7 linked regions of the Canis lupus familiaris genome follow. The protein of the gene in region 7 purifies or fractionates together with the protein of the main gene of each other region. This does not show direct contact. Links are inferred from orthologs where the notes say so. Each region holds a gene or a part of one and is shown on either strand. Other genes may lie near its edges.

Region 1 (4,210 bases), on a different chromosome or scaffold from region 7:
GGGGGCCCCTCCCCATGACTTACGGTTTCCCAGAATTCTTACCTCGCCTCAGCAACAACCCTCATACTTGCTGCTCTTCCTCAGCCCCATTTCAGGGACAGCCAATCCCCAGCTGGAGACCATGCCTCATCCTGGACACCTCTCCCGACGACACCTCTCCCGACCCCTCAACCCCCCGAAGCCAGGCAGTTGCCATGTTCTGTCAAGGCAGCCTCCTGAACATCTCAGATCTATTCATCCACTTCCATCCCTCCAGCCCCGCCCTGCCCTGGTCTGGCCTTCAATCTGTCCACCTGCCCGGGTTCCTGCCTCAGCCTCCTCCCTGCTCTCCCAGCCTCCAGTCCTGCCCCTCTGTAGGGGTCCAGCTAAAGCACAAACCTAACCCTGTCCTTCCCTTTCTCAGAACTATCCATGGCTCCCCAGAGTCCACAGTAGAAAGCTCAGCATCCTCCCTTGCCTCCTACACTCCGGCTCCACTTACTTCCTTGAGGCTAGGTTCTGCTCACCTTTGCCAGGATAGGCCTCTGCCATCCTGTTCTTTCTGCCTGGCATTCCCTCCTCCCTCTCACCAGCCCTCATATCCTCTCTGAAACATTTCTTGTTGGTTTCTGACCAGAGACACCTCTTATCTACCTGTCCACCATCCTTGTCTCCTTCCTACCTCCAGCTCTGCCCTTGTATCCAATCTCAGCCCGGAAGCTGGGGAATCTTACCATGCCTCCCCACCACCCTCAGGATGACATCCACACTCCCTGAACTGGCCTCCAAGGCTCCGCCTCATCTCTCACTGGTCCTCTCCTCGTGGCTGCAGCCTGACCAAATGTTCCTGCTCTGAATCCCCTTGCGCTTCCACTGAAGGCCAACTGAAGGCTGCTAAGGCTCTAGATTCCAACCCCATTTCTTTTCCCCAGCTTTGCTGCCATAAGTCTCCCATCTCTCTTGTAGGATCAATTCCAGCTCTCTACTGGACCAGACTCTTGGACTCTTCCATCCTTTAAGAGAGAGAAAGAAAGCAAGCACCTCCCTCTCTCCATTTCTCCACTCCCTTTTAGGACCAAAATACTTGAACCACTTTGTCAACATTTGCTGTCTCTACTTCACTTCCTGTTCACCCTTGGGTGTTCTCCTAGCTAATTACCAACTTCATTGTTGCCCAAAACTGTTCTTATAAACTGCCCTTCTTAGGGCTACCACCAACATTCGTGAAGCCAAATCCAATGGTCAATGCTCAGTGCTCACCCTGGTAGCACCCGACCCAAGGTACAGCCCCCCTCCTTCTAGAAGCACTCTCTTCTCTCATCTTTCCTGACACCTTTCCCAACTTCCCTTTCACTTCACTGACCACTCCTCCTCAGCCTCTTCCTCTTCTTTTCTAAACATTAGAATTCCTCAAGGTTCCAGCCCCTTCTCTCCCTAGATGACCTCATCCATTTGCAGGTGTTCTATTCCATGCATAGGCTGATCAGGCCCAAATTCCTCTCCTTGCAGCTCCAGACTGGCCCATCTGTCAACTCAATGTCTCCTCTTGAATAGCCCAGTAAAATCCAAACCAGCTTTGCAATGACTTATGAAACCCCACCTGGTCTGGCCCCGGTCCTAAACTTATCTTGTATCCATCTCCCTGCTAACTTGCTAAAGCTTCCACCACACTAGTCTTTCATTTCCTACCTCAGGGCCTTTGCACATCTGGCTGCATCCACCTGAAACACTCCTTCGCGATTCTTCTCAAATGCCTTCTCAGTAAGGCTTTCCCTGACGACGCTCTCTATAAAGTAGCCTCCAGCCCTCATTCTCTCCTTCACACCCTGTTGGGGTCTGTTCAAAGCATTCTTCATAACTTCTAAGCATTTTATTATTTCTTGTGTTTTTGCTCAATGTCTTATTCTCCTGCTGAATTACAAGCTATAAAAGGGCAGGGCCACATCTGCTTCATTCCCTGCTAAATCCCCAGAGTCTGGCACAGTCCTTAGCGCAAAGCAGGTGCTCTAGAAATATAATGAATTACTGAATGAATGAGTGCCCCCACATCTTACTCTTTTTCAAGATCGGATGTCATACTATTCTTGGGATTTCCCCACCTTTACTCCCAGGGCCTCCCACGCATCCCTTTTTCTCGTGCAACCCCCAATCTCCTTGCCCTCCCATCTAATGATCTATTCCCCACCCCTACTCTACTGGGACAGTGCCCCCGCCCCCCCGCCCCATCTCCCCACTGGGTAGCACCATCACTCCCCAGCCCTGTGTCACTACTTGGCAGCGCCCTCTTCAGGCCTCACCACAACTAGCACCTCTCAAGGACCTCACGTTCGGAAATGCCCTCGCTCCCGTCCCCCTCCCGCCGCACACTTGGTAGCGCCCTCCCCAGTCTCCCCATTTAGTAGCACCCGCTCCGAATGCCGCTTCTAGGTATCACCCCTCCTGTCAGAAGCCCCCCCTGTCGGCCCCTGGTAGCGGCATCCTGGGCCTCCCCAAGCCCGGTCACTTGGTAGTGCCTGCCCCGCGCCCAGGCTGCCGCTCCGCGTTGCCATGGTTCCGCGCGGGCCGGGCACCCCTTGCCCCGGGCCGCTCTCCACCCTCCCTGGCCCCCTCCGGGGCAGGCGCACCTTTGAAGTAGTCGTTGGCCTGCGTCTTGAGCTCCTCTGCCCGCTTCAGAGCGCCATCAGCCGGGGGCTCGTCCCGGGGGGGCTCAGCACACTCAGTCCGCTCGCCCTCCGCCATCGCCATGCCGCAAAGCGACCCCCACCCTGGCAACGGCCGCCAGCGGCACCCGGCCGAATCGTCGCGAAGGAGTGCCGAGTTGCTGCGGCCGCTGCTGCACAAGTGTCGTAAAGCGCGGGCCCCGAAGGCTCCCTTCGCGCGCCTGCGCAGGGCCCTTTCGCCATAGAGCGCGCGGAGGACAAGGTGACCAGAGGGACCCTAGACAGCGCCCTTCGTAGAAGGAGCCAATGGGGAGGGCGAAAGGGGGCGCGCGGGGCGGGGGCGAGCGGGGAAGGTCTGGCCGGGCCCGCGCTCGCGAAGTCGCCGTGTTCGAAGGCCGCCGAAGTTCTGGAGGGGTCTTCTTGGGTGGGTGGGTGTGGCTGCAAGGCAGCCCCACGCAGAACCAGAGCCGGGAGACTAGCCCTACGGCCGGTTATTTGGGTGACCTTGAGCAATTAGGGGCAATTACCCCCCTCTGAAAAATGCGTGGATTCTCAAACCAAGAGACTAAAGTTCCAACCCTGAAGGTTAACTGTATCTCCATCTGTTAACTGAAGGCGCTCTGGATGCCCTAGTCCTGAGCAAGGCCCAGAAGTTTGTTGCACCATCTCCTTTCTTCATCCTCATCTCCTAGTCCCCAGCCTGCAACAGTGGCCTTAGAAAAACCTAAACTCTTTCTACTGCATTACCTAGGAAACACTGAATAGGATAGCCCCAGGCGACATCTCCAGATGCACACACACACACCCCAACCATTACATCCTAGCAGACCATCCTCTCCAAGCCTTCAACTGCTCCTCCTGTGGAACTATGGCACTAAATCATTTAAGGCCCTGCTGGAGCTCCCATCCTACAACCACAGCTGTCCCACTTCTCAGTCGCCTTGTCCTGACAGCCTGATCCCACCACCTCGTATCATAGCCAACAATCAGCCTAGAAAGTAGATTATAGTATCAGCTCCATTTTACCACTGAGGACACCGAGGTTTGTAGAAGTCAACCAACTTCCCCAAGGTCATACAAGGAGAGTGGCAGAGCCAGGACTTCACCTTGTCCCATCTGATTCTGTGCTCTTAAGCCCTACTCCACTGTCCCTAGACTCTAGATTTTTGAGATTTTTAGAAGTGTGTATGGGAAGGCTGCTGTGATGGATTTGAATCCCGGATTCGAATCCAGCTCAGTCCTTCCCTGCTGTGTGACCCTGGCAAGTGATCATCCTCTGAACCTGTTTCCTCTTCTGTAAAATGGGGACAATAACTGTGCTTATTATATATGATTAGCGGAAATTTGATAAGATCATAGGAATAAAGTATTTGGCAGAGGGCCTAACACAGAGTAAGCACTTTTTATACACAGTCCAATAAAATACTCAGAGTGGTATCGAGTACCTAGACCTGAGAGGGGAGAGGAGGGGCTCACCCTGTTGGACAAGCAGGGAAGAGTTCCTGGAGGAGGGAATGTTTGAACCAAGAGCTGAAAATGAGTAGGAGATAACCAAGTGTGAAGGAGGAAGG
Region 2 (4,161 bases), on a different chromosome or scaffold from region 7:
GTGGTGCCATCCCCAGCCTCTTCGTTTGTGTTATTGGCAACATCTTGAACAAGTTTAGCGCCAATATTTTTATATTTGTCTTTTAAGTCAATTGACTTTGCCACGGTCACACCATCCTTTGTTACTTTGGGACTTCCCCAACTCTGCTCAATAATCACTGTTCTTCCCTATAATTAGAGGAAAAAAAGTGACAGAATCACATACCTGAGTGCATTTAGCTTGAAACACAATGAACAGTTTTTAATTACTTGAAAGCCTCAACACAAGTTGTCGCTTTTATTAAATGTGCAAGAATCTCAAAGGCAAATCCATCAGTGTTCCTAGCTTACTAACAAAATGACTTTTTCTGTTGCCAAATGCATAACCATGCATTGAGGGTTTTATGGAAGATAAAAATCCCAGAGACTAAAATTGTCATCTCATTAAAACATACACACACACAGAAAACCAAACAACCTGGTAGCTCATAATGAAATTTCAGAATATCCTTCACATGATTCATAATTAAGTTTTGTCCAGTGCCTGCTATCTATGAAAATAATAAGAAAAGAGGCTTCAAAATTTAGCTACTAAATAAAATACCAAAAGCAAGGCAAGTACAGTTCACTCTTTCAGGGGCTGATTCAATGTTAAATCTCAAATCATGGTGCAAACAGTATTGGCAGCTTCTGGATCTGAACCAAAGCTGCTACTTGGGAGGCATACAAATGCCACATTTTATACAATATGTATCAATACTCTGATATTGGATCTGTCAACCTGCAATCAAGCATCACTCCATTTGTGCATCACCTTCAAAGGTCTCCTCAAAACGGGTTACCCTTTCACTCAATACCCTCTTCATATTAAATGAGACAAATCTTCATTACAGTACTTCCACCAATGGTATGAACCGCCAGGGAAAAACCCAAACCTTAAGTAGGCAGGCAAGATTAATTCTACCTCCCATTTTCAAATCCACTTTGAGCTGTGAGTTACCAGTCCATTACATCAGACGTTGTAGGAAAGAGTTTCGCAAATTTTAAAGAAACGGTTTTAAGACCATTGTTATCTACGTAAAAGAAAAGAGTAAGCAGTAATTGGGAACTCTTACGTATTTATTGGAGTTTTTTTTTTTAATGTTAAGGACAACTTTATTGCTTCCAGAGGCTTTTATCGTCAGTACGCGGTTCTGATTGCAATACCTTCCTCAGACTGCACGAGGAGCCCAGGATCCGTAAGTCATTAAAACAAATACAGGTAAGGCAATTTTCATCAAGAAAATACTAGTAGCTTAACCTAAATCTAGGCTCCTGAATTTATTACATGTTACAGACCCGAATCAGAGAGCTGTCCCAGTATCTAGATAAGTCCTACCGATTATAAATGAGTGAACAACGGACACGCAAGTACTTACTGCTCAACAGCTCGGTGGGACTCTCTGACATAATTAAATTTCTACTCCTGAACTCACGATACTGTCAATTCCAACAAAACAAAAAACACTGATACCTTTGGCCCCATAGTAACGGCTACGGCATCGGCTAGGAGATCTACACCTTGAAGCATTAAGGCTCGGGCATCGGCACCGAATTTTACATCCTTGGCATAGGCCCGAGTGAGATGAGGAGCCAGGGCTCTGGACACTGGCCTGACGTGGCGGAGCACTGCGGGTAATCGAAGCATTTCTGCGGAGGGACGGAAAGCACCAGGTCAGCAGTACTCCCACAGCAGCGGCACCCCGGGTCGCCGCACGGCCTGCCCCCGGGGAACAGCGGGCACCTGCGCCGGCGCCACGTGAGGCCGAGCGCGCGCCACCCCGCCGACGCGCAGAGCACGCCCATCGCCTTCCCCGCGGCCGCGAGAACCGAGTGAACCTTTTACCGCTTCAACAGCGTAGAGAGAACGCGCTCCCGAAAACCCAAGTCTGCAGCAAAGGCATGGGCGCTCGAGGGAGGAGGGAAAAAAAAAAAAACCCGTTCCTGAAGGTACAAAAATGTGCTCAGTAAGATGCGGCTCCGGGCGACGGCTCCGGGCCTCTGCGGCCGGAGCAGCCCGGGGCCGCCACGCTGGGGGCCCGGCCCACGTGTCTTCCCCTCAGGACGCCCTCCGCAAGGTCACGGTGTGCGCGGGGCCCGCGGTGGCGGCGGCGGCGGCGTTGGCGGCGGCGGCGACCACCCAGCAGCGCGGCGCCCTGCGGGCGGCCCGGGGGACGGCGGGGGCGGCGGGGACGGCGGGGGCGGCGGGGGCGGCAGGGGCGGGCCCGCCGAGCACGCTCCCGACCCCCACCCCGGGGCCAGCCCGCCCGCGGCGCCCTGCCCGGGAGCAGTGCGGGCCGCACGTGACGGCAGCGCCGGACCCCGTGAGGCCTGGCCCGGCGGCGGGGGCTGCGCGCCCCGGGAGCCCCGGCCCTCGCCCGCCCGCCCGCCGCCCTCTCAGACCGCGGGAGGGGGGGGGGCGCTCCGGGGCGCGGGCGCGGGTACCTGCGGGTCGGCGGCGGAGCGTGCGGGCGGCGAGGCAGGCCGGCGGCGGCGACTGAGGGGCAGAGCGCGCGGCGCGCACGGCAAAGAGCCAGTGTCCCCTCCCTCCGCCGCCCTCCCCCCGCCCCGCGGCCCCGCGCGCGCCGGCGCCTCCCAGCCCTGCCCGCCCGCCCGGGCCCGGCAATCGGCACGCGCCCCGCGCCAGCCCCGCCCCTCGCTACCCGCGGCAGGGCCGGGCCGGCGGGCTCAGCCCCCTCCGGCCGGCTTAGGCTAGTTCCCGGGCTGCGCTGGGTTCCAGAACGTTCCGGGAAGCGCGGCGCTCTCTGGGGGGGGTCAAGGTTCACGGCGCGTCATTTCCGGGAGAGGGGCGAGGAGGTAGTACTTACACCTCCGCGGGCGGCCTGGAAAGGCCTAGAAAGAAGTCCCCTTTCCTTCCGCCTGGGCGTCCCCGCGTCAGCGGCCGGCGCGCGGGGCCGGGGGCCAATCGCAGCGCGCGCTGGCGCGGCCACCCTCTCCTGCGGGGAGGGGCGGGGCGCGGGAGCGAGCGCGCATGCGCGCCGGGCGGCCTTTTCCCACGTTCACGTGGCCTGGGGGTCGGACTGCGGGTCTCCTGGCGGCGGCGGCGGCGGCGGCTCCAGAGCGAGTGGGACTGCGGCGGCCGGAGGCATGGTGAGGCCCGCGGGGGCTGGCGGCCGGCCCTCCCCGAAGCGCGGGGGCAGCCGTGCGGGGAGGGGAGGGGGCCCCAAGGGGCTCAGCTGCAGGGGCCGCGCGGAGGCCGGGCCCACCGCCCCTCGCCGGCGCCTGGGCCCTGCACGCGGGAGCCCCGCACGCGGGAGCCCGGCTCGCCTGCAGCCCGGGCCGGGGACGGACGCGCGCCTCCCGCGGGGCCTCTGCCCGCGCAGCAGCTGCGGAAGCCCGGCTGCAGGCGCGCGTCTTGATGGCTTTTGCAGAAATGTCCCGGAGAAACCCAAGGAAGGAAAATCTTTGACCTTGAAGTCAACCAAGGTTGCCCTTAAAGCTCGTTCGAGGGCTGAGCACAGCAGCAGCAACCACCCCTAACGGCTGTAGAACGGGAAATTAGACTCATGAGAGCAAAACACTCAAGTGGCGTGTTGTTTTTTTTTTTTCCTTTAAGCGAATCTGAGCCTTGGCGTTAACTTTGAAAGCCACGCACGTGCTTTTTTGACGAGTAACGCTGAGAATGTAATCGAATAACTACTGCTGTTTCAAATTTGATGTCACATTTCCTCTCTTACAGGCAGGGCAGGCGTTTAGGAAGTTTCTTCCCCTCTTTGACCGGGTTTTAGTCGAAAGGAGTGCAGCTGAAACTGTAACCAAAGGAGGTATCATGCTACCAGAAAAATCTCAAGGGAAAGTGTTGCAAGCAACAGTAGTGGCTGTTGGATCGGGTTCCAAAGGAAAGGTAAGTGGGGCTAACGTTGAACCGTTTTTATGTGGAGTGGAGGGGGAAAAAAAGGAAATCTCGATTATTAAAAGTAGTTAACCATTTGGTGGCCGAGTATGATCGGCCTTTTCTTCAAATTCTAAGTCTTTGATAAACCAAAAAACCGTATTTAAGATGATCCGTGGGTGCTTTTACAAGTTGGGGAAAATTTAAACTCTAGGTTTGACCTCTAACATCGTAATTGCCTTAATCTTTTAACTCTTTTTGGCCTTAGTGGGTGTGCTTATGAAAGGAACA
Region 3 (3,531 bases), on a different chromosome or scaffold from region 7:
CAGGAGAGCCTGCCACAGGCCGAGCTCCGGGAGGGCCCGCTCAAGGCCGAGCTCCAGGAGGGCCCGCCACAGGCCGAGCTCCAGGAGGGCCCACCACAGGCCAAGCTCCAGGAGAGCCCGCTCAAGGCCGAGCTCCAGGAGAGCCCGCTCAAGGCTGAGCTCCAGGAGGGCCCGCCACAGGCCGAGCTCCAGGAGGGCCCACTCAAGGCCGAGCTCCAGGAGAGCCTGCCACAGGCCGAGCTCTGGGAGGGCCCGCTCAAGGCCGAGCTCCAGGAGGGCCCACTCAAGTCTGAGCTCTGGCAGGGCCCGCTCAAGGCCGAGCTCCAGGAGGGCCCGCCACAGGCCGAGCTCCAGGAGGGCCCACCACAGGCCAAGCTCCAGGAGAGCCCGCTCAAGGCCGAGCTCCAGGAGAGCCTGCCACAGGCCGAGCTCCGGGAGGGCCCGCTCAAGGCCGAGCTCCAGGAGGGCCCGCTCAAGGCCGAGCTCCAGGAGGGCCCACTCAAGTCTGAGCTCTGGCAGGGCCCGCTCAAGGCCGAGCTCCAGGAGGGCCCGCCACAGGCCGAGCTCCAGGAGGGCCCACCACAGGCCAAGCTCCAGGAGAGCCCGCTCAAGGCCGAGCTCCAGGAGAGCCTGCCACAGGCCGAGCTCCGGGAGGGCCCGCTCAAGGCCGAGCTCCAGGAGGGCCCGCTCAAGGCCGAGCTCCAGGAGGGCCCACTCAAGTCTGAGCTCTGGCAGGGCCCGCTCAAGGCCGAGCTCCAGGAGGGCCCACCACAGGCCAAGCTCCAGGAGAGCCCGCTCAAGGCCAAGCTCCAGGAGAGCCTGCCACAGGCCGAGCTCCAGGAGGGCCCGCTCAAGGCTGAGCTCCAGGAGGGCCCACTCAAGGCTGAGCTCCAGGAGGGCCCACTCAAGGCCGAGCTCCAGGAGGGCCCGCTCAAGGCCGAGCTCCAGGAGACCCTGCCACAGGCCGAGCTCCAGGAGAGCCCGCTCAAGGCTGAGCTCCAGGAGGGCCCGCTCAAGGCTGAGCTCCAGGAGGGCCCACTCAAGGCCGAGCTCCAGGAGAGCCTGCCACAGGCCGAGCTCCAGGAGAGCCTGCTCAAGGCCGAGCCTGAACCCAGAATAGGATCAACAGGGGTCTGACCCACACAGGCCCATGGGTGGAGAGATCTGCAGTCCAGCTAGGGAACCACACCTTGGCACCCGGACCCAGCCCCCGAGTGCCTGTCTGTCTTCTGTGTGCCCATCCAGTCTCTGGGGGCAGCTGGACACAGAACAAGGAAAAGAGCTCTGGAAGCGCTCAAAATCGTTATGAGCTTAGGGCAGGAGTGCTATCCCCAACAATGATAAAATCACAGTTCTTAATCATTAACAGAGCCAAAAGGATCATGTTCAAGGGTCTGGGGGGGAACGCTGTGGCTTCTCATCAGGGAGGAAGATGGAGGGGAAGGGCCAAGCGCAAGGGAGGTAGTTCATAGATGCTGGGCCAACGCACAGAAGCAACACAGGCTCCCAGGCTCTGGGGCACTGCCTGGCCCCCCCAGGGCACCAAGCTGGGACCTCAGCACGGCCGAGCCCGTGTCCCAGGGGGTCCGCTCACCTGACAGAGTGCCGGACAAGGCGGCATCCAGCGTGGACACCTGGAAGAGCCGCAGAGCCTCCTCCACATCCGCTTCTGTGGCAAAGGGCTGCAGCTTCATCTTGCTGAGGGCCTCCGCGATGCGCACAATGGCCTCCAGCTGCCTGTGGGAACCACCGGTGGACTCAGTTCACGGCCTCACCCCGCCCAAGGGAGGAAGGCCGCAGAGGAGACTGCTGCCCTTTCCTCCTCGGTGACGGAACCCCGATTTTGACTCCGGCATGTGGCACCCAGCTAAGACATTCCCCAGCTTCCCTTGCATCTAGACGTGTCTATGTGACTAAGATTCAGCCAATAAGTTCTCAGTTCAAACATTTTGTGGGGATTTCAGGAAACATCTTTAAGGAAAGATGGGCCCTTCTTCCCCTTCCTCTCCTGTCGCCTGGAATGCAGAGGTGATGGCTAGAGATCCAGCAGCCATCTATGAGGATGAGCCCAAGTTGCTAATGACACTGAGGAGCCATCACACCAACCCTGTACCACTTACCCTCAAACATCTTTATGTGAGAAGTAAATTTTCAATTTATTGACTTTACTTTTTTGAGTTTTTTCTTTCTTTCTTTTTTTTTTTTTTTTTTTTGAGTTTTCCATTACTTACAGCTAAATCCATTTCTAACTAATCCTACTAGAGACAGGATCCAGCCCAGGTAGGCCCAACCTCCTACTGTATAAACTCCAAAGAATGAAAAGTTAAGAACTATGAAAACTGAGGTCCAGAGAAGGAAAGGAATTTCCCTTCAGTCAGAGAGGGCCAAAGTCTAAGACCCAGGTCTTGAACTCCCATGACCAGGCCCTTCCCTCACCCCCAGGCTTTCCTGCAATGAGGGAAGCCAGACAAAATTCAGAAAAAACAGATTCCACGTTTCCTCAAACTTAAAACAAGCCAAGAAATACATATCATCAGGGAGGCCACTGCTGATGCTCCCCCAAGCTGACCTGACCAGCAGCCCTTATTATGGGCCTGCAGTGGTAATAGGGGCCCTTGGCCTCAGGCTTGCTGGGCACATCCTGCTGTGTAAACTGAGGCCCGTCCTGCCCACCTGGGTCCAGTCCCCTGGCCCCTACTCACCGCACAGTGATGGGAATGTTGGAGCGGCGGTCGCTGTCCCTCTCATGCTGCCGGGCCCCGCTCCGCATGATGATATACCGGTTCTTCAGTTTCTCTGCAGCCTCTGCCGATAGCCGGGGGCCACACTTCCTGCAGGATGGGGGAGCAGCTGCCATTGGTCCAGGAAGGAACCTTGGGACACCCACTGTATCCCCAGCCAAATGACATCACAGATTCAGGACAATGCTCAGATCACCTAATCCCACCCTCCTCCTGAGGATAAGAAACCAGGCCAGGAGAAGGGAGTCCATTCCCCACAGCCACCCAGGACCTGGCATCAAGGTGGGGTGACTCACACCCAGGGCCAAGCCCCCGAGGATGTGGCCAAAAGGAATTGTGACGAAAGGAGATCCCCAGGTGGCTCAGGGGTTTAGCGCCTGCCTTCAGCCCAGGGTGTGATCCTGGAGTCTCGGGATCAAGTCCCACATCGGGCTCCCTGCATGGAGCCTGCTTCTCCCTCTGCCTGTGTCTCTGCCTCTGTGTGTGTGTGTGTCTCATGAATAAATAAAATCTTAAAAAAATAATAAATTAAAAAAAAAGGAATTGTGACAAGGACTGCTGGAGCAGGAGCTGCTGGGCTCATCACTGCAGCTGGGGGGGGCGGGTACTTAGGGACCCACCTGACTATAGCGCCTCATCTCCTGCAAGAGGGGCCCTCTAAGACCCCCACCCTCAGGTTTTATCTCCAACAAGAGACAAGAGAGGCAGAGGTGCAGCTTCCCAGCACAGTGCCTGGGTTCAAATCCTGGCTCTGCTACCTTCCACTAACGACCTTGGATGAGTCACTTAA
Region 4 (3,531 bases), on a different chromosome or scaffold from region 7:
TGGTTCTTTCTGGATTGTGTGAAAGAAATTCTCATGGTGTAAAAATGTTTTGTGAGCACATGCAGGACAGTTCATATTATGTTAATCATTGATGTAAAAAAGAGGTGAAACACAAACGAACCAACAGACAAGTACAGACCAATTTTCTTGTACCCATATGAAACACCCTTGGAAGCACACCAAAAACCAGTAGTAGCAGGTACCTATGGGGAAGGAAGCCAGGTGGTGGGGAGGCTGCCCAGAGGGGACTTTTCAGTGCATACTCTTTTATCACTTTTGGAAGCTTGAACCATATGAACTTATTACTGCTCTAAAACAAAACAATACAAAACAAAAACTGGAAATAAAAACAAAATTTGGGGGATCCCTGGGTGGGTCGGTGGTTTAGCGTCTGCCTTTGGTCCAGGGCGTGGTTCTGGAGTCCCGGGATCGAGTCCCGCGTCAGGCTCCCGGCATGGAGCCTGCTTCTCCCTCTGCCTGTGTCTCTGCCCCCGCCCCTCTCTCTCTATGTCTATCATGAATAAATAAAATCTTTAAAAAAAAAAAAATTGGAATAACAGTTGCATCATTTAAATTAGTGTGTGGCCTCTCAATACTCTGAATGAAACCTAATTTAGGGGAATGTTAGTTTTCAAACTACACATTTTGGTAATGATTTACCTTCACATATACAATGAACACTTATACACTTATTTTTGTAATTAAAAAAAAGGCAAAGATATAATTTTTTAAAAAGTATATCCTTCAGTTTTTTATTTATAAATCTTTTTTCTGGTAACTTTCTTGTGTGCAAATTGGTTCAAATTTTAAGCCACTTTCTTATGCTTTTATTTTTTATTTTTTTATTTTTTTAAAAAGATTTTATTTATTTATTCATGATAGTCACACAGAGAGAGACAGAGAGGCAGAGACACAGGCAGAGGGAGAAGCAGGCTCCATGCACCGGGAGCCCGACGTGGGATTCGATCCCGGGTCTCCAGGATCACGCCCCGGGCCAAAGGCAGGCGCCAAACCGCTGTGCCACCCAGGGATCCCTCTTATGCTTTTAAAACAAAAATTTATATTTAGGAATGGTAAAATTTGTCAATAATACACTTCCACGAAAATACTTATCATTTGTCTTGCATACATGTCCTTTATTTATTTACTAATACACAGCATCTTCAGTATAAGTACACTGTTGTATAAAGCAGTCTGTAAATGTACTGGCATGTTGCTACTGAATACAGGGCAAATATTTATAAGGCATTACTTTTAAAGATGTTAACACTTTAACAATTGCTCTACTTTTCCAGGATTTTTGAGTCTGGACTGCCCATGTGCTGGGTCCTAACATGACATCCTCTATGGGAGACAGATGACCGATGCCTCGGGCCCAGGCTGGAAGTGCCCGGTGAGGTGGGAACAGGTAAAGGATGTGACAAAGACAGGGGGACACAGTCCTCCCTTCAGGAGGTGCTCCTCGCCCCACCCACAGGCCCCCCGTCCCTCACTCACCACTGCACGGGCTGCCAGTTAGGGAGAAAAGGTCGGAAGCCCGTGATGCACTCAAAAGCCAAGGTGCCAAAGCTCCAGTAATCCACGGTCACTGTGTACTTCTGCTGCTCCAGGAGTTCCGGGGCCTGTGTAAGAATGTGTGGTGGGAAAACACCTGAGCTGCTTCCTCTTCTGAGGAGCTGCCACAGGAGGGGGCAACCTGCCCCTCTAATCATGTCCCCACATGCCCCTGACTCCATCCAGAGCACATTGGCATGTCCATTCCAGGGTGAGGAGGTGACCACATGTGTAACTGGTGGTGTCTAGAATTTTTTGGCACTTCATTCACTCCTGATATTGATACAAGGGCCCCTAGGGGTGTTTTGGGTAGACCAGAGAACATCATATGCCCTTTTCTTGGGTGCAGTGTCCAGGTGGGAAGATAGCTTACATACAACAAAGGAAAATGACACCAGGCTATACACACCAAATGCGTACACACACATTAAATGATGACCAAGTCTCTTAAACTGATGTGATTTAGGAATGTGGTCGTACAATGAGATGGGATATTTACAATCAGCCAGATGCAGGACTGCTCCCCAAGCAGAGACAGCTGAAGTAACCAAGCAAAGCTTTGAAGCACAGAACAGAACCTGGGTCAGAAGAAGGCTCCTCACATAAGTGTCTGCGAGGGGACATTCCAGAAAGGACCATCACAAGCCCAGGCAGGGAGACAGGACCATGGACTGTCTGGCTAGAAGTGTGACCCTTATGGAAGGGTCAAGGAGTGCCAAACACGAGGAAAAATTGGGGAAGGGTCAGATCAATCTCTGTATCTGGTTATAGACAGAAGCTTTAGTTTTTAAAGGTGAAGATTTCACTGAGCATCCTGGTCAGAGCACGGGGTCACCTCACATCACTCCTGCTGAGCCCGTGAGGCTCCCAGAGTATACTCAGTAGGACCTATGTAATTACATGATATGGACACAGGGCAGGGGCCTAAATCACAGCCCCCCATGGGTCACCACTCTGAGACCTCTATCCAGAGAGCAGGTCATAAAGCGATGGAGCCTGTTACCCTAGTTGGTAGGATAAGCAGGAAGTATAAATGCACTCAAAGAGACATCAAAGAATTTCTTCTTATTTTTTAAGAACTAGATAAAACATTTAAGCTTATTTAGCCCAGTGGCTTTCAACCTTTTTTTGTTTGTTCATTAAACTGCAGACCCCTCGATCAACCAAAATTTTACTGGTTGTTACCATCCACAAGCAATCTATTACCAAGTCTTATGGAGTCTCTTGCTAGGCATTTCTTTTTTTTTTAATTTTAATTTTAATTGTTATTTTTTTTAATTTATTTTTTATTTTTTATTGGAGTTCAATTTGCCAACATATAGCATAACACCCAGTGCTCATCCCATCAAGTGTCCCCCTCAGTGCCCGTCACCCAGTCACCCCCACCCCCCACCCACCTCCCTTTCCACCACCCCTTGTTTGTTTCCCAGAGTTAGGAGTCTCTCATGTTCTGTCTCCCTTTCTGGTATTTCCTACTCATTTTTTCTCCTTTCCCCTTTATTCCCTTTCACTATTTTTTATATTCCCCAAATGAATGAGACCATATAATGTTTGCTAGGCATTTCTTGACTTATTTTCTACATCCTCAATGCTACCACCAGCTCTGAGCTTACTATCACAACAGCCTCCTTACTACTTACCCGCTATTTACTCTTGTTCAGTGCAATTCATCCTCCACAATGCATCAAGACTCATCTTTTCAAGGGGTAATACCAATCCCTCTCCAAATTTAAACCCTTCAGTGTCTTTCTGGTCCTCCATGGACTACATCCTTTGCTTCAATCCCTTCTTTTCCCTGCCTCCAGCCCCTTCCAGTCCCAGACTAGGTGAGGTCCTCCTAATACATATTTTTATAACACCCCACCCTTTCCCTTTGTAGCACTTGTCACAATTGTAGTTTCTTAGTTTCTGTGTAAGTGTGGGGGGTAATGCCTGCTCTCTCACCAAACTCCAAGCTCCTAAAGACCAAGGAAATGC
Region 5 (3,531 bases), on a different chromosome or scaffold from region 7:
TTGAAACAGACAATTCCACTGTTCTTTTATAATCCTAAAGAAACTGAGGTGAACTTTCTCAACTAAAATATACTTACCTACAAAGGCTATTTGGTTGAGGTAAATGGCTACTAAACCGAACTTCTCCTGTCATTTCTTCACATGCAAATATACACTTTGGATCCTTCTTCTTAATCTTCTCATGCCTATAAAACAAGTTACCTCAGTTGACAACTCATTCTCATACTCTTAAGATTTTTTTTTGCCATTTAATTTTATTCAACTATGCGTTTAAAAGGCAATTACACATACGAAGCGGGAAGAAAAAAAAAGCAGGTAACTGAAAATTTACATTACCATTAAGCACACCAAAGTTCTCTTCCATTTCTTACCAAGTAAATGGCTGCAGATGATGCAAAAAAGGCCTATATCCAGCAATACATTCAAACACCATGGTCCCAAAGCTCCAATAATCAACAGTGGCTGTATAAGGCTTATTCTCAAAGAGCTCTGGGGCCTTAAAAAGAAAAAAAAAAATGCTTCAAACATCAACACTAGAAGAGAAGAGCTACTTTATTTTTGGACTACTATATTCATGACCTTCAGAAGTAAGAACATGAATTCAAAGAAACAATTAATGTCTCACCAGATACTGCAGTGTTCCCACAAAAGATGTACACAGACTTCCTTGATCAACATCTTTGGCATATCCTAGATCAATTATTTTATGCATAATCTGCAAAACAAGAAGTATTAAATGAGAAATTTGAAAAGGAAAGGCAACAATATCCTTATAAGGCTCTGGAGAAGGTGGTGGGGAAGAGCTTGAGCTCTGGAATATCACAAACATATTTCAAGCCTGAGCTGCCCACTTATATGATCTTGATCAAGTTACTTAACTTCTCTCAGTTTCCTACATAATGATATTACTAATGATCTTTACTTCACAAAATTATTATTAGGATTCAATGAAATAATGAAAGAAAAGAATAACATAGTTCCTTTGATGCATGGTAAAAAATGTTAACAAAATTAAGTATAGACTATTAATTTTTATTTTGGCATATTCAGAATAAGACTGATCCATTAAACCAAAAGGGAAAGGTAAGGATGACTTCCAAAGTTGAGAAAGAATCATACCACTAAGTGAGTAAAGACCTATCTAACTTCAGGAATATCCTGAAGACTTTGGATACAAACGAAGCAGAAATAGTTGGTGCCAAGCATACATGAAAGGCTCTTAAGAAGCACCATCAGTTTTATCACCTCAACTGACCACCATCATCACTAACTAAAGACCACACAATCCAATTCAAGGTTCAGACTCTTGGCTTTACATCTTTATTGGAATGGAACTTGGGTGCTAGTCACAAGAAAACTGCTCAAATTATTCTGATAAATACAAGTATTCCAGGAGTCAATGCATAATTTCTGGTTCTTCTCAAGATGACTCATTTAAGAATCTGAGAAACCAAGGTTTTGAATTTTACTTATATATAGCACTTAGAATTTGAGGGAAGAGAATGAGGTTGTTCTTTCTTAAATAAGAAACAGTTAAGTAAATATACTTAACCAAATCCAGTGTGTGTGTGTGTGTGTGTGTGTGTTGGATGTGCTTTGTAAGGGATTAACAAATTATTTTTATTCATTGTCTATTATCTCTACTAGATACTGTATTCAAAACCAGAAGTGCCCAAGATAGGGACAGTTCCTTCTCTAATGGAAACACTGTGTTAGAAGAGGAGACAAACATCTAAACACAAAACCACAGTTCAGTGAAATGAAGGCTGGGGAAGAAAAAGTATAAAATGCTATGGAAAGGCACCAGATTTCAAAGACTAATTATACCAGGGAATCTATATTCAATTGGCATGTAACAGTTCTTCAGGTTTTACCTACCTTTCCACCAACATCCTGAAGAACTATGTTTTCAGGTTTTAGATCACGATGTATTATTTTGTTTTCATGCAAATATCGGATCCCAGACCCTGAATAAAGTTTAAAATGTATTTTGAGGTAACAGAAACACTGAATTAAAAATAAATTCATCTCACATTTTGTACAGATCTTCTCTGATGTTCAAACTCTTTTTTTATTTAAGTAATCTCTACACCCAATGTAGGGCTTGAATTCACAACCCCAAAACCAAGCGTTGCATGCTCCTCCAACTGAGCCAGCCAGGCACCCCTCTGATGCTCCTATTTACACAGACCATCATAATTATATGATTAATGGTATTGTACCAGTTAATAGTCTCTCCACAGAAAATCCAGTTAATATTAAACAAATACTGTAGAATTACATAAGTCCCCCTAGTTTTCCCTCCCACCTAAATCATCGTCTTCAATTAGACTTGACCTCCATGACCTAGAAAAAGAAACAAAATAAAAATATATAGGGAGGAAGGCCTGGGTGGCTAGTGGTTAGTGTCTGCCTTTATTTAGCTCAGGGTGTGATCCTGGGGTCCTGGGATCAAGCCCCACATCAGGCTGTCTGCATGGAGCTTGCTTCTCCCTCTGCCTGTGTCTCTGCTTCTCTCTCTCTGTGTCTCTCACGAATAAATAAATAAAATCTTTAAAAAAAAAAAAAAAAGAAAAAATATATAGGGAAACATATTCTTGGCTTCTGAACTTCCAAGGGCCTAATTAAGGATTTTTCAGGAGTAATTTTTTTTTTCTTAAAAGATTTTATTTATTTATTCATGAGAGACACATGGAGAGAGGCAGAGACATAAGCAGAGGGAGAAGCAGGCTCCCTATAGAGAGCCCGATGAAGGACTTGATCCCAGGACCCTGGGATCACAACCTGAACCAAGGGTAGACATTTAACTACTGAGCCACCCAGGTGTCCCAGATTAATTCTTATTAAAAAGGAATTTTATCCTACAAGTTGACTTGAGAACCTATAACCAAAAGATGCAACGTCACTGGTAAATAAAATTACTATGCTAGGCAGAGAAGAAGGGGGAGCAAAATTGAATAAGGTCATTTCACACCATTCTTTCTTAGCACTTAGAGCATCCATTAGTCAAAAAATGGTCTCCTGGCGAAAAACAAAAAAATAAAATATCCTAGTTTTAGCATCAACAAGAGTTAAATTTTTCTGATAATTTCTTATAGATGGTAAAAGTGTATGCTTTGTATAGTACATCAAAAATTCTTAATTCCCAAGTAGTATATAGATCCTTTTATAAACCAAAGGGGCACTAAATTATGATGGTATTTTCAAACTGATTACATACCTATATCACTCAGTAAAGAAAGTATCTGGCTTTCTTTAAGTCCACAGCAATTTTCTGGTTTATTGAGTAGCTGAAGAAAAAAAAAAACAAAGAAATCTAAAAATGTATACTGCTAATACTGCTGGGCAGCAGTAGCAACACATTAATCACTATATACACTAAGAGAATATTCAAATAAGAAATAAGTCACAATTAAGAAAATGTAAGAAGGGAAAAATCACCAAAACCATACTGAGAATAAATTAATTTCATGACAAGACTTACACAGGTAGAGATAAAAGGGGAAAGTATGTGAAAGTGAAAAAGGTTGA
Region 6 (4,237 bases), on a different chromosome or scaffold from region 7:
AAGGGAATGTCATTAAGGCAGCAAAATATTCTCTGTAAAAAGTGGGAGTTGTTTCCACAGCCTCAGAGATGAAGGTCAAGACTGCCTTCTTAGTTTGGGGAGCTCTCCACTCAAGTGTTCAAAGGAAGAGAAAAGACAGCTTCTCTCCTCTTGCTACCGTTGCAGCCATTCCACTGCTCACTCTGGGTTACCTTCTGCCTTTTGTAGATAAGAGTGCTGCAGGGCTCGGAAGGCAGAGATTCGCTTGTGTGGGTTAAAAGTCAGCATCTCCTGAGAAGGGGAGGCAAAGATCAAAAGGTCATGAAGACAAAACAAAAAAAAAAAGAAAAAGACTTCCGCTCACCCCCAACAATACCTAGGATGGGCTATTTTCTACATCCCTCTTTATGGATGGCCTATTCACTGGCGCCAGTAAAAACTAGCCCATCCACCAACCAAGTCTTAGTAACCGCAATGCTAGTGCTCGGTCTTCCACCCCATCCTCAGCCTGTGCCCGTGCCCACGCCCAGTACCAGCAGCAGCTGTGCTCCAGACTCCTCCATCTCAGGTACCACTGTCTGTACTGGACGGGGCCCTCTAGGGGAAAAGGCTCCTCGGGGCAGAGACACATCTCGGGGCCAGTCATCCTCTGGGGGCAGCCCGATCAGACTATGGGGAACAGGAGAGCTCTGGTCAAGAGGGTCTTTCTCTAGCCCACATCTCCAGGGGCAGAGCCAACTGCCATGTGGGGCTCAGCAGAAAAAAGATTTGGAATGGAAAGTTTTTTTTTTCTCCCCTCATGCTGGTCACTTACTCAAAGATTTTGCCTAACTGGTCAGCTTCAGAGTTTCCACAGAAGAGAGGCCTAAGGTGGAAAAAACACAGAAGTCATGTCCAAAGATACAGTAGTGGAATAATTACTGGTAGGTAATGGCTCAAAACAGAGAGTGTGGGGGAATACAGGGATGTGAAGTTCCTAACTTTGGGACATTTCAGAGTTTCTGGTTAGGGACAGAACAGTCAACAATACTTAAGTGAAAGATTGGGCAGGAAATGGATGTGATCTATGACTAAGAGATTTGGTTTGGGAAACTCAAAATAGTTCAGGATGCTTGGGTCCCATACTTGCGACGAAACATCTCTGCGAAGATACAGCCGACACTCCACATGTCCACGGGTGTTGCATACGTAGACTGCAGAAGAACTTCTGGAGCACGATACCAGAGTGTAACAACCTAATAGGAACAAGAAAAGTGGATGAAGACCCCATGGGTTACCATGAACCATAACTGGTTGACTAAAGTCACAAAGTGCCCGACTTCTCAACTGCTACGGTCAACCCCTCTCCTACTCCCCTCTTGCTACTGACCACAGGCGTAAGTGCCATCTGGTAGCTGTAGATTCTGGCCAGGCCAAAGTCAGCCAGCTTGACTGTCCCACCACTGGTCACCAGAATGTTCTCGGGCTTCAGGTCTCGGTGAACGATGCAGTTGGCATGAAGGAAATCTAGGCCTCTTAGAAACTGGCGCATCAGATCCTGGTTTAGAAGGGGGAAGAACAGAGGACCTGGAACTAGGCACCATACCTGAAATCACAGCAGGTTCTGCCACAAAGGTCTCAATCTACTCCTCAGTGTCCACCCACCCTACTCACCTTGATGGTCTCCACTGGCAAGCCCGGTGGGGGTGCCTTGTCCAGGTACGTTCTCAGGTCTTGGTCCACGTGCTCAAACACCAGGGTCACTTTGGTCTCCCGGTCGGTTCGGGCAGTGGCGCAGACGTCCATTAGCCTGGCCAGAACAAGTGGTCACTCACTGATCAATCCCTCTGGACCCGATGCGGCCTTCCCCATTTCCCCAGAATCCCCACCTACAAGTTGTCTTTTCCCCTTTACTACCCACTCCCCACCCCCCACCTTCTCACCGGACAACGTTGGGATGCTCAAAAGCCTCCAGCCGCCTCAGCAATGCCACTTCACGAACTGTGCTGATGGGAAGGCCCCCTCCGGCACCTCCTCCATTAGGGACTCTAACGCTCTTGAGGGCCACGAAGTGGCCGCTGTGCGGATCACGGGCCTTGTACACCGTTCCATAGGCACCAACCCCAATCTCAGCCACTGGCTCGTACCGAGGAGTAGCCATTCTCGGATCAGAGAAGACCCTACAATCACAAAAGCCTCCTGCCACCGAAAATCCCTCAAGAGTTCAGGTGGTATGAGCCTGCCGCAACGAGGTGACTCCCCCACAAGGCATCACAAAGACCCCCCCTCCACCACCCCGTCCCTCTCCCCAGTTCCGTGAGGCTGGCTCCTCAGCTGACACAATGGCTCTAACCCCAACCCCGCCAGGGGGGGTTATTTAACCCACGCCTTAAATATAAACGTGAATCCCTCAAAGAAAGAATTCCTCTTCCTCGGGGACGGGCCGTCGCGCCCCGCACGGGGCAGACCGCACACGACACACCCCCTGCATCGAAGACTCGACATCCGTCCCTACCATTACATCCCAGCTGACCACAAAGGAACTTTGCGCGGGCCGCACTTCCCGCCCTCGAGCGACCCTCCCGTAACCTGCCCGCGTAGGCAGACGCGAGGGCGACAGCGGTCCCGTCCCCGGGAAGGCGCCACGCTCACCTCACTCGGCGCCGGGTGCTGCGGGGGCGGCCCGTTATCGGGGCCCCGGAGCCAGAGCCTGCGGCGCCATACACAGGAGCTCTGTCCGGGGCAGCTGGACGCTCCGGGCCCGACCATAGACAGGCCGCAAGCTAGAGCGGCCCCCGCACCCCCACCCTCACCATGTGACCAGCTGCCAAAGAGGCGCGCGGAAACTGGCGGGGCGGGGCGAAAGCCGGACGTTCGGGCCACGTGACGAGCCGCGCGTGCGCAGAGGGGCGGCCAGAGCGGCCTCGGCCGGGAAGCGGGCGGGGAGGGGAGAGGGCAGGCGGGGCGACGGCGGCCACGTGATCTGTTGCTATCACACGTGACCGCCCGACTCCGCTCGGAGGAGCAGAGGTGTGGCTACGCGGCGGGGCACGTGACCGACTGCCAGACCCGGCGGGGGTGCGGGGAGACGGGGGAGGGTGGAGTCCAGGGCGGTGCCATGGCAACCCGGGCCACCCGGCTCCAGGGCCGAGCTGCAGGCCGCGCCTGAGCGCTTCTGGCGCTCGCTCCTCGCTCCGCGCCTCCCTCTGTGCGCGGCGGTCAGGGAGCTGGAGACGAGGCGGGGGCGGGACGGGCGCTGGAGCCTTTCGGCCTCACTGCCGCGGGGAGACCTGGTCTCGTTTGTGTCTTTGTTTCATTCATTGGCTCATTCAACAAATTTTTACCGAGTGCTCGCTTCCTGTGTGCATGCGGGTTTTTTTTTTCCGGTGTCTCAGTCGCTGGCCCTTTAAAGGAGTGATGGGGCTGTCTGGAAAGACGTAGCCCCCGGTGGGGACAATACCCATCTCAGGGCACAGCCAGCACTAACGGACTGACGGAAGGCACACTAATGCAGTGACCCAACCGGAGGAGTGTCAAGGTGATGCCCTCCCATCTTTCCAACTTCCACCTCTTCCAGGGAGCGTTAAAATAAGACGGTGCTTTCTGGCGGAGAAATTACCAATGAGCAAGAGACAGAAACACTTAACCTGCAAGGTTCTTTGCAACAGGGAGAGGCAATGATATGCGCGTTTGTGTATGTGTGGGTATTTTACACATTGTGTACAGATGGACAGATACAGGAGTGAGCGTGTGCAGGGAGGTTACCTCCACCACCACCTTGGACCTCAGCACTGCGTGAGAATGATTTGTGCTCTTCCACAAACCCTGTGACTCCTTGTTTGGGGTCGTTCTGCTTCCCTCTTTCCCCCGGTGCGAGCTTTCTTAGTCCTTGCTCCCGCCCAGAACTTGGACTTTCCCAAATTGCTTCTGCTCACAGACACTTAGGTCGACAATAGACAGGTTCCTCTGACTTTCCTTATTTCCTAGCCCTTTAGGGGAATGAGAGTAAGGAGGGAAGAGATCAGTATCTCGTTCGGGACAACCTGTCTAAAATCATTTCATGACTCTATTTGCCACTCCTTCCACCTTAACTTCTATTCTCCTTAACCATCTAGTGGAGGATGTAAGAGCTCAGGCTCGAGATGACTATAAACCACGTTCTAGGACAAAATGGAATACAAGTCAGTACAGATTCGCCCTCTTTGCATTCTGATAGTTGTAGCTCTGGGCCCTGCTGGCAAGGGCAGCTGGAACACTAGAAAGAAAAACCTCAAGGTCT
Region 7 (4,118 bases):
AAAACCATAAACAAAAGTGCCCAAAGCACTCACATCAGAAGCATTACTGATCAACTCTCGAAGAAAAATTTCCTTGTTAGAATAGAAGGTATTGATGATGAGGGACATGAGCTGGGCAATTTCTGCCTGGAAGGCAAAAGTCTCCACCTCCTCCTCTCCATGGTGCACTTCCTCAGGCATCTAAAATAAGAACAGTCAAGAATTACAAAAGAACACCGTGGCCCCATAGGTAACACTCCGTTTCACCCTACTCACAACGAAGACTCAGCTTTTAGTTGAAATTGCTTTGGGCTGGATAGTAGACATATTCCTGAAAAACTAGAAAACTTTTCCCTCAATGATTTCAGCCTATACCCTTAGTGGAAATCCAATTCAGGAAGAATTTTTAAAAGCTTCTCTAACACAACACACGACGTCAAAAGCGTTTTGGAAAAACACCTTGGAGCCTAAGTACTCTAAGTGGTCCATGGGACCCAACAGACTCCGCATCACCGAGTACCTCGTTGAAAATGCAGATCGGATCCAGGAACACGAAAAGGACTCCAGATAATTTTCAAGAGAAAAGCACTGAATACGGCTCTATTTCTTTTGGTAGGACAAACGGTAGCCCGAGGCGACCAATTTCGGGTTAAAAGGAATTCGCAATTGGCTCTCCCGCTGGGGGTCTCCCACATCAAGCACCCTGGAGCGCAGGGGCCGACTACCCCCGGGGCCGGTGGATACCCGCCCAAGCGGCTGAGACAAAGAACCGCTAAGGCAGAAGCTCCATCGCGACCCCAGCACACGTGACTACAGCGTGGGACCAAACCAAACATAACCAAGATGGTGGCCGTCGTCCGCTGGGCAGACCCTCGTCACTGCCGGACGTGCGTCGGCCAGGGCCACGCGAGGAGGGGGCGCCACCGCGCAGCCTCCCTTCGCCCCAGCATCCGGGCACCAGGGCGGGGCGCCGGGTTCCAGAAGCTTCCAGAACAATCTCAGCTCTTCGGAGAGGCGGGGGAGGAAAGGGCCCATGAATCTTCCCGAGCTTGCCCCCTCCACTCCCCTCCCCCACACCGACACTGCAGGAAAGATCTGGAAGGAGAGGAAGCACTATGGGCCAGAGACCGCCGTCAAACGTTGCTCGCCGAAGGTCACAGAAAAAAAAAAAAACGAAAACCCTTGCAAAACGCGTCCCAGGGGACAGATGGCACAGGCGGCACGGGCAGGCCAGCCCCGGGCCGTGCTGAGTCACGTCCAGCGCGCACACCCACAACGCGCGGGGACCCTCCGGCGCCCCGTAGCCGCGTCCGGAAGTGGAGGGGCAAACATGGCAGCGTCCCGGCCGGCGCGGACACCACGTGCAGCTGCCCACCACCCCCAGCCCGCGCCGCGGCCCACCTCCCCCAGCGCCAGGCGCCGCCCGCGGGGACGCCCGCCACCAGGCACGGGTGAGAAAGCAAGTCTAGCTCGCGGTCCCCCTCCCGGCCACCCCCGAAAGCAGTTAGGAGTCGTCCCATCCCACAGGCCGCTCCCACTCCACGAAACCCAGGCTTTAGAAAGGAAACGAGGAACGAGAGCAACTCAAGAGAGCACTCCAGGCAGGAAAACCTGGAAATAGCTACGACTTTACCTTAAAGGGGAAGAGCTGCAAGCACTACAGACCACGGCGGGCAGGGGCTGCGTCCGGCTACGACGCCGAACCAAGGCTGCGCGGGGGTGACTCAAGAGAGCGGCTGTGCGCCCCCGGCCGCTCTATATACGGCGGAGCACAGACCAGCTGCCGGCCCCCGGATCCCTCCGCCTTAAAGGAGGGTGCAGCTCAGCCCCGCACCTGCCGCTGCCCGCCCACCTTGACGTCATGGCCCAAAATGGGGCGGGCGGGGGGGGGGGGGCCGCCGGTCTCGGTCTCCGCCTTCAGAGTACGCAAGTACATCTCTGCTTTTGCAAGGCATGAGCTCCCTCCGAGAACTAAAGACTGGGAACGTCTTATTTCATATGAAATAAGTGGGGGATCTAGGGGTGCGGGTGCCACTGGCCTTCCTATAAACCATGAGGCAGGCGCCTCCCCACTCGAGTCCTGGCCTGGAGGAACACCTATAAAGGTGGAGGGCGGGGATAGAAGCGGCCAACCGCTCCGACCTCGGCTCCCGGGTTCGACTCTTGCTACAATCTGCCCTCCAGACCCCCACAACCCGAGAAGGGGAAGCAGTTTTCCTTAGGGACGGTGCGGAATCCGGGGTCTAACCTCAGGGAGGCCTTGCGCCCCGGCCCTCCCAGGGGCAGTGGGCGAAAGCCGCGGCTGTGCGGCGGGGTGTGGCTCCGGCTGGGGGAAGGGCCCTGGCCGGCACCGGCAGGGGGACTCTTTGCCCGCGTCCGGCGGAAGGAGCGGCAATGGTGGTACTGCGATTACTTCCAGCAGTTTCCAGACCCGCCTTGGCGGCCCCGCCCCCGCCCCGCCCCCTCCGTGCAGGCGCCGCCCCGCCCTCTGCGGCCTGGGCCGGGTGTCCGCAGCCGCCGCGGTCCCCGGGGAGGAGGCGGGCTGTTCCCCTATTAACCTGGGAGCCCGCGGGGGGGACCCTCATCTCCCACCTGCCGGTTCGGCGAGCCCAGCGCTCCCTCGGGAGTGGGATGGAGCATAAAGGGAAAGATTGACCCCCCCACCCCCGCCATCGATCCCACGGCCTGGGGCTGTTGGGGCGGTGGTGCTGGCGCCGCCTTCGGGGCGCAGAGACCCGGGGACGCATTCGCCATCGCGGGGGGCGGGGAGGAGGACCCTCCCCTACTTGTGCATCCGCCCAAGTGAGTGGGACCCGGAGACCTGCGTCTTCCCTGCGTGAGCACACGGAGCTGTTTCCCCATCTGGTTTCAGTTTGGGCCCTCTTCGCTCCTGCGGCCGGCAGACGGGAGGAGGAGCGGGCCCCCTTGCAGGCTGCCAGAAGTCGTTCCCCTCCAGCTGCGGCGCGGGCGCTCCCGAGCCGTTAGTCGGCCGGGAGAGCTGTGGGACGCCGTGGCTCAGCCCCTTTCGCGCGCCTTCCAGAGGGGAAGCCGTCCTTGTCTACCTAAGGCCTCCCCTAGGAATGCCGTCGGACCCACGGCCCCTCCGGAAGAGAATGGCCTCTTGCTGCTCTGTGACCTTGTAGGGGTCCATCCACTTCTCCCTGGCCCACAGGGTCGTTCCCTGGAATCCTGGGGAGGGGCTGCCTCCGGCACCACCGCCCGCCGTCCTTCCTCAGCCTTCTTCCTTCCTTTGTATTTCCTTATTCATATGTTAAATTCCGAAGAACAGACCTTCCAATTCCTTATCTTTTCCCCAAGCACCAGACCTCATCACCCAGCCACAGCCACCACTCCTATATTTCTCCTTACTCTTTTATTCAACCCCACACACACACCTGTTTTAAAGATTTTTATTTACTCATGAAGACACAGAGAGGCAGAGACAGGCAGAGGGAGAAGCAGCTCCATGCAGGGAGCCAGACGTGGGACTCGATCCAGGGTCCCCAGGATCATGCCCTGGGCCAAAGGCGGCGCTAAAACCACTGAGCCACCCGGGCTGCCCCCTATTCTCCTTAATGGTGTGTGAGAAATCTGTGACTTGGGGAAGTTAATGTGTTTGGGAAGAGCTGTGGGTGCTGTTGCCAGGAATCCTCCAGGATTCTCTGTTCCTGATCAAGATCTCAAACGAAGTGTGTCATCCCTCAACATACCCTCTCTCTTTCTGGGCAGAAGGGGCCTAGAAAATTAAAAACCTCCCTAGTTCACAAAGAGCATTCAAACTATTTCACAATACTGTGAAGAGGTAAAAGTGAGTCTCCCGTTCTCACTGGGAAAGCAAGGCTTCAGTGAGATCAGTCAGCTCAGAGCCTCTGTTGCACCAACCCTCGCTCCTTGCTCCAGGAATGGAGTAGCAATGCTGTCTCCCTTCCCAGGACCCAAGTCCAAAGCAGCAGAAATCACTCCTGTGGATCAGTATTAAGACCAGAGACTCCCGGGGTCTTCTAATGGGAAGATCTCAAATCACGCACTAGCACAGAAATTCTGTCTTTTCTGGAAGGCTCTCCCACTCGCTGACACTCACTTAAGCCCCCCACAGTGAGTTCCTGGGATGCAGAATTGCAGAAACAAGATGGAGGTTT

Evidence for each region.
Region 1: the proteins of HSP90AB1 (region 7) and PPP5C purify together in Homo sapiens (affinity purification with mass spectrometry; 6 studies listed by BioGRID and IntAct, with this or other methods). This does not show direct contact. The link is inferred for Canis lupus familiaris from reciprocal best matches to the Homo sapiens genes HSP90AB1 and PPP5C.
Region 2: the proteins of HSP90AB1 (region 7) and HSPD1 fractionate together in Homo sapiens (co-fractionation; 3 studies listed by BioGRID). This does not show direct contact. The link is inferred for Canis lupus familiaris from reciprocal best matches to the Homo sapiens genes HSP90AB1 and HSPD1.
Region 3: the proteins of HSP90AB1 (region 7) and MCM5 fractionate together in Homo sapiens (co-fractionation; 3 studies listed by BioGRID, with this or other methods). This does not show direct contact. The link is inferred for Canis lupus familiaris from reciprocal best matches to the Homo sapiens genes HSP90AB1 and MCM5.
Region 4: the proteins of HSP90AB1 (region 7) and IKBKB purify together in Homo sapiens (affinity purification with western blotting; 3 studies listed by BioGRID and IntAct, with this or other methods). This does not show direct contact. The link is inferred for Canis lupus familiaris from reciprocal best matches to the Homo sapiens genes HSP90AB1 and IKBKB.
Region 5: the proteins of HSP90AB1 (region 7) and CHUK purify together in Homo sapiens (co-immunoprecipitation; 3 studies listed by BioGRID and IntAct, with this or other methods). This does not show direct contact. The link is inferred for Canis lupus familiaris from reciprocal best matches to the Homo sapiens genes HSP90AB1 and CHUK.
Region 6: the proteins of HSP90AB1 (region 7) and CDK4 purify together in Homo sapiens (affinity purification with mass spectrometry; 5 studies listed by BioGRID and IntAct, counting the BioPlex papers as one, with this or other methods). This does not show direct contact. The link is inferred for Canis lupus familiaris from reciprocal best matches to the Homo sapiens genes HSP90AB1 and CDK4.

What each region holds. Positions count from the first base shown.
Region 1 is NC_049222.1:110,176,346-110,180,555, forward strand, and holds the start of PPP5C (serine/threonine-protein phosphatase 5), read right to left. Parts: upstream 2,811-4,210; 5' UTR 2,725-2,810; coding exon 2,604-2,724; intron 1-2,603. UniProt on the Homo sapiens protein: Serine/threonine-protein phosphatase that dephosphorylates a myriad of proteins involved in different signaling pathways including the kinases CSNK1E, ASK1/MAP3K5, PRKDC and RAF1, the nuclear receptors NR3C1, PPARG, ESR1 and ESR2, SMAD proteins and TAU/MAPT.
Region 2 is NC_049258.1:6,898,085-6,902,245, forward strand, and holds the start of HSPD1 (60 kDa heat shock protein, mitochondrial), read right to left. Parts: upstream 2,817-4,161; 5' UTR 2,681-2,816; intron 2,580-2,680; exon of another isoform or gene 2,463-2,579; intron 1,968-2,462; coding exon of another isoform or gene 1,920-1,967; exon of another isoform or gene 1,807-1,919; intron 1,668-1,806; 5' UTR 1,666-1,667; coding exon 1,492-1,665; intron 168-1,491; coding exon 1-167. Other genes in the region: HSPE1 (MOB-like protein phocein), read left to right, coding at 1,920-1,967, 3,718-3,882. UniProt on the Homo sapiens protein: Chaperonin implicated in mitochondrial protein import and macromolecular assembly. Together with Hsp10, facilitates the correct folding of imported proteins.
Region 3 is NC_049231.1:29,725,241-29,728,771, forward strand, and holds part of MCM5 (DNA replication licensing factor MCM5), read right to left. Parts: intron 2,832-3,531; coding exon 2,703-2,831; intron 1,738-2,702; coding exon 1,595-1,737; intron 1-1,594. UniProt on the Homo sapiens protein: Acts as a component of the MCM2-7 complex (MCM complex) which is the replicative helicase essential for 'once per cell cycle' DNA replication initiation and elongation in eukaryotic cells.
Region 4 is NC_049237.1:24,111,186-24,114,716, forward strand, and holds part of IKBKB (inhibitor of nuclear factor kappa-B kinase subunit beta), read right to left. Parts: intron 1,623-3,531; coding exon 1,498-1,622; intron 1,409-1,497; exon of another isoform or gene 1,296-1,408; intron 1-1,295.
Region 5 is NC_049249.1:13,175,840-13,179,370, forward strand, and holds part of CHUK (inhibitor of nuclear factor kappa-B kinase subunit alpha), read right to left. Parts: intron 3,291-3,531; coding exon 3,221-3,290; intron 1,968-3,220; coding exon 1,879-1,967; intron 716-1,878; coding exon 626-715; intron 497-625; coding exon 372-496; intron 186-371; coding exon 78-185; intron 1-77.
Region 6 is NC_049231.1:2,166,949-2,171,185, forward strand, and holds the start of CDK4 (cyclin-dependent kinase 4), read right to left. Parts: upstream 2,812-4,237; 5' UTR 2,611-2,811; intron 2,139-2,610; 5' UTR 2,120-2,138; coding exon 1,902-2,119; intron 1,769-1,901; coding exon 1,633-1,768; intron 1,517-1,632; coding exon 1,349-1,516; intron 1,215-1,348; coding exon 1,105-1,214; intron 845-1,104; coding exon 794-844; intron 649-793; coding exon 513-648; intron 271-512; coding exon 178-270; 3' UTR 1-177.
Region 7 is NC_049233.1:12,845,159-12,849,276, reverse strand, and holds the start of HSP90AB1 (heat shock protein HSP 90-beta), read right to left. Parts: upstream 2,830-4,118; 5' UTR 2,812-2,829; exon of another isoform or gene 2,801-2,811; intron 1,772-2,800; exon of another isoform or gene 1,608-1,771; intron 826-1,607; exon of another isoform or gene 500-825; intron 181-499; coding exon 34-180; intron 1-33. UniProt on the Homo sapiens protein: Molecular chaperone that promotes the maturation, structural maintenance and proper regulation of specific target proteins involved for instance in cell cycle control and signal transduction. Undergoes a functional cycle linked to its ATPase activity.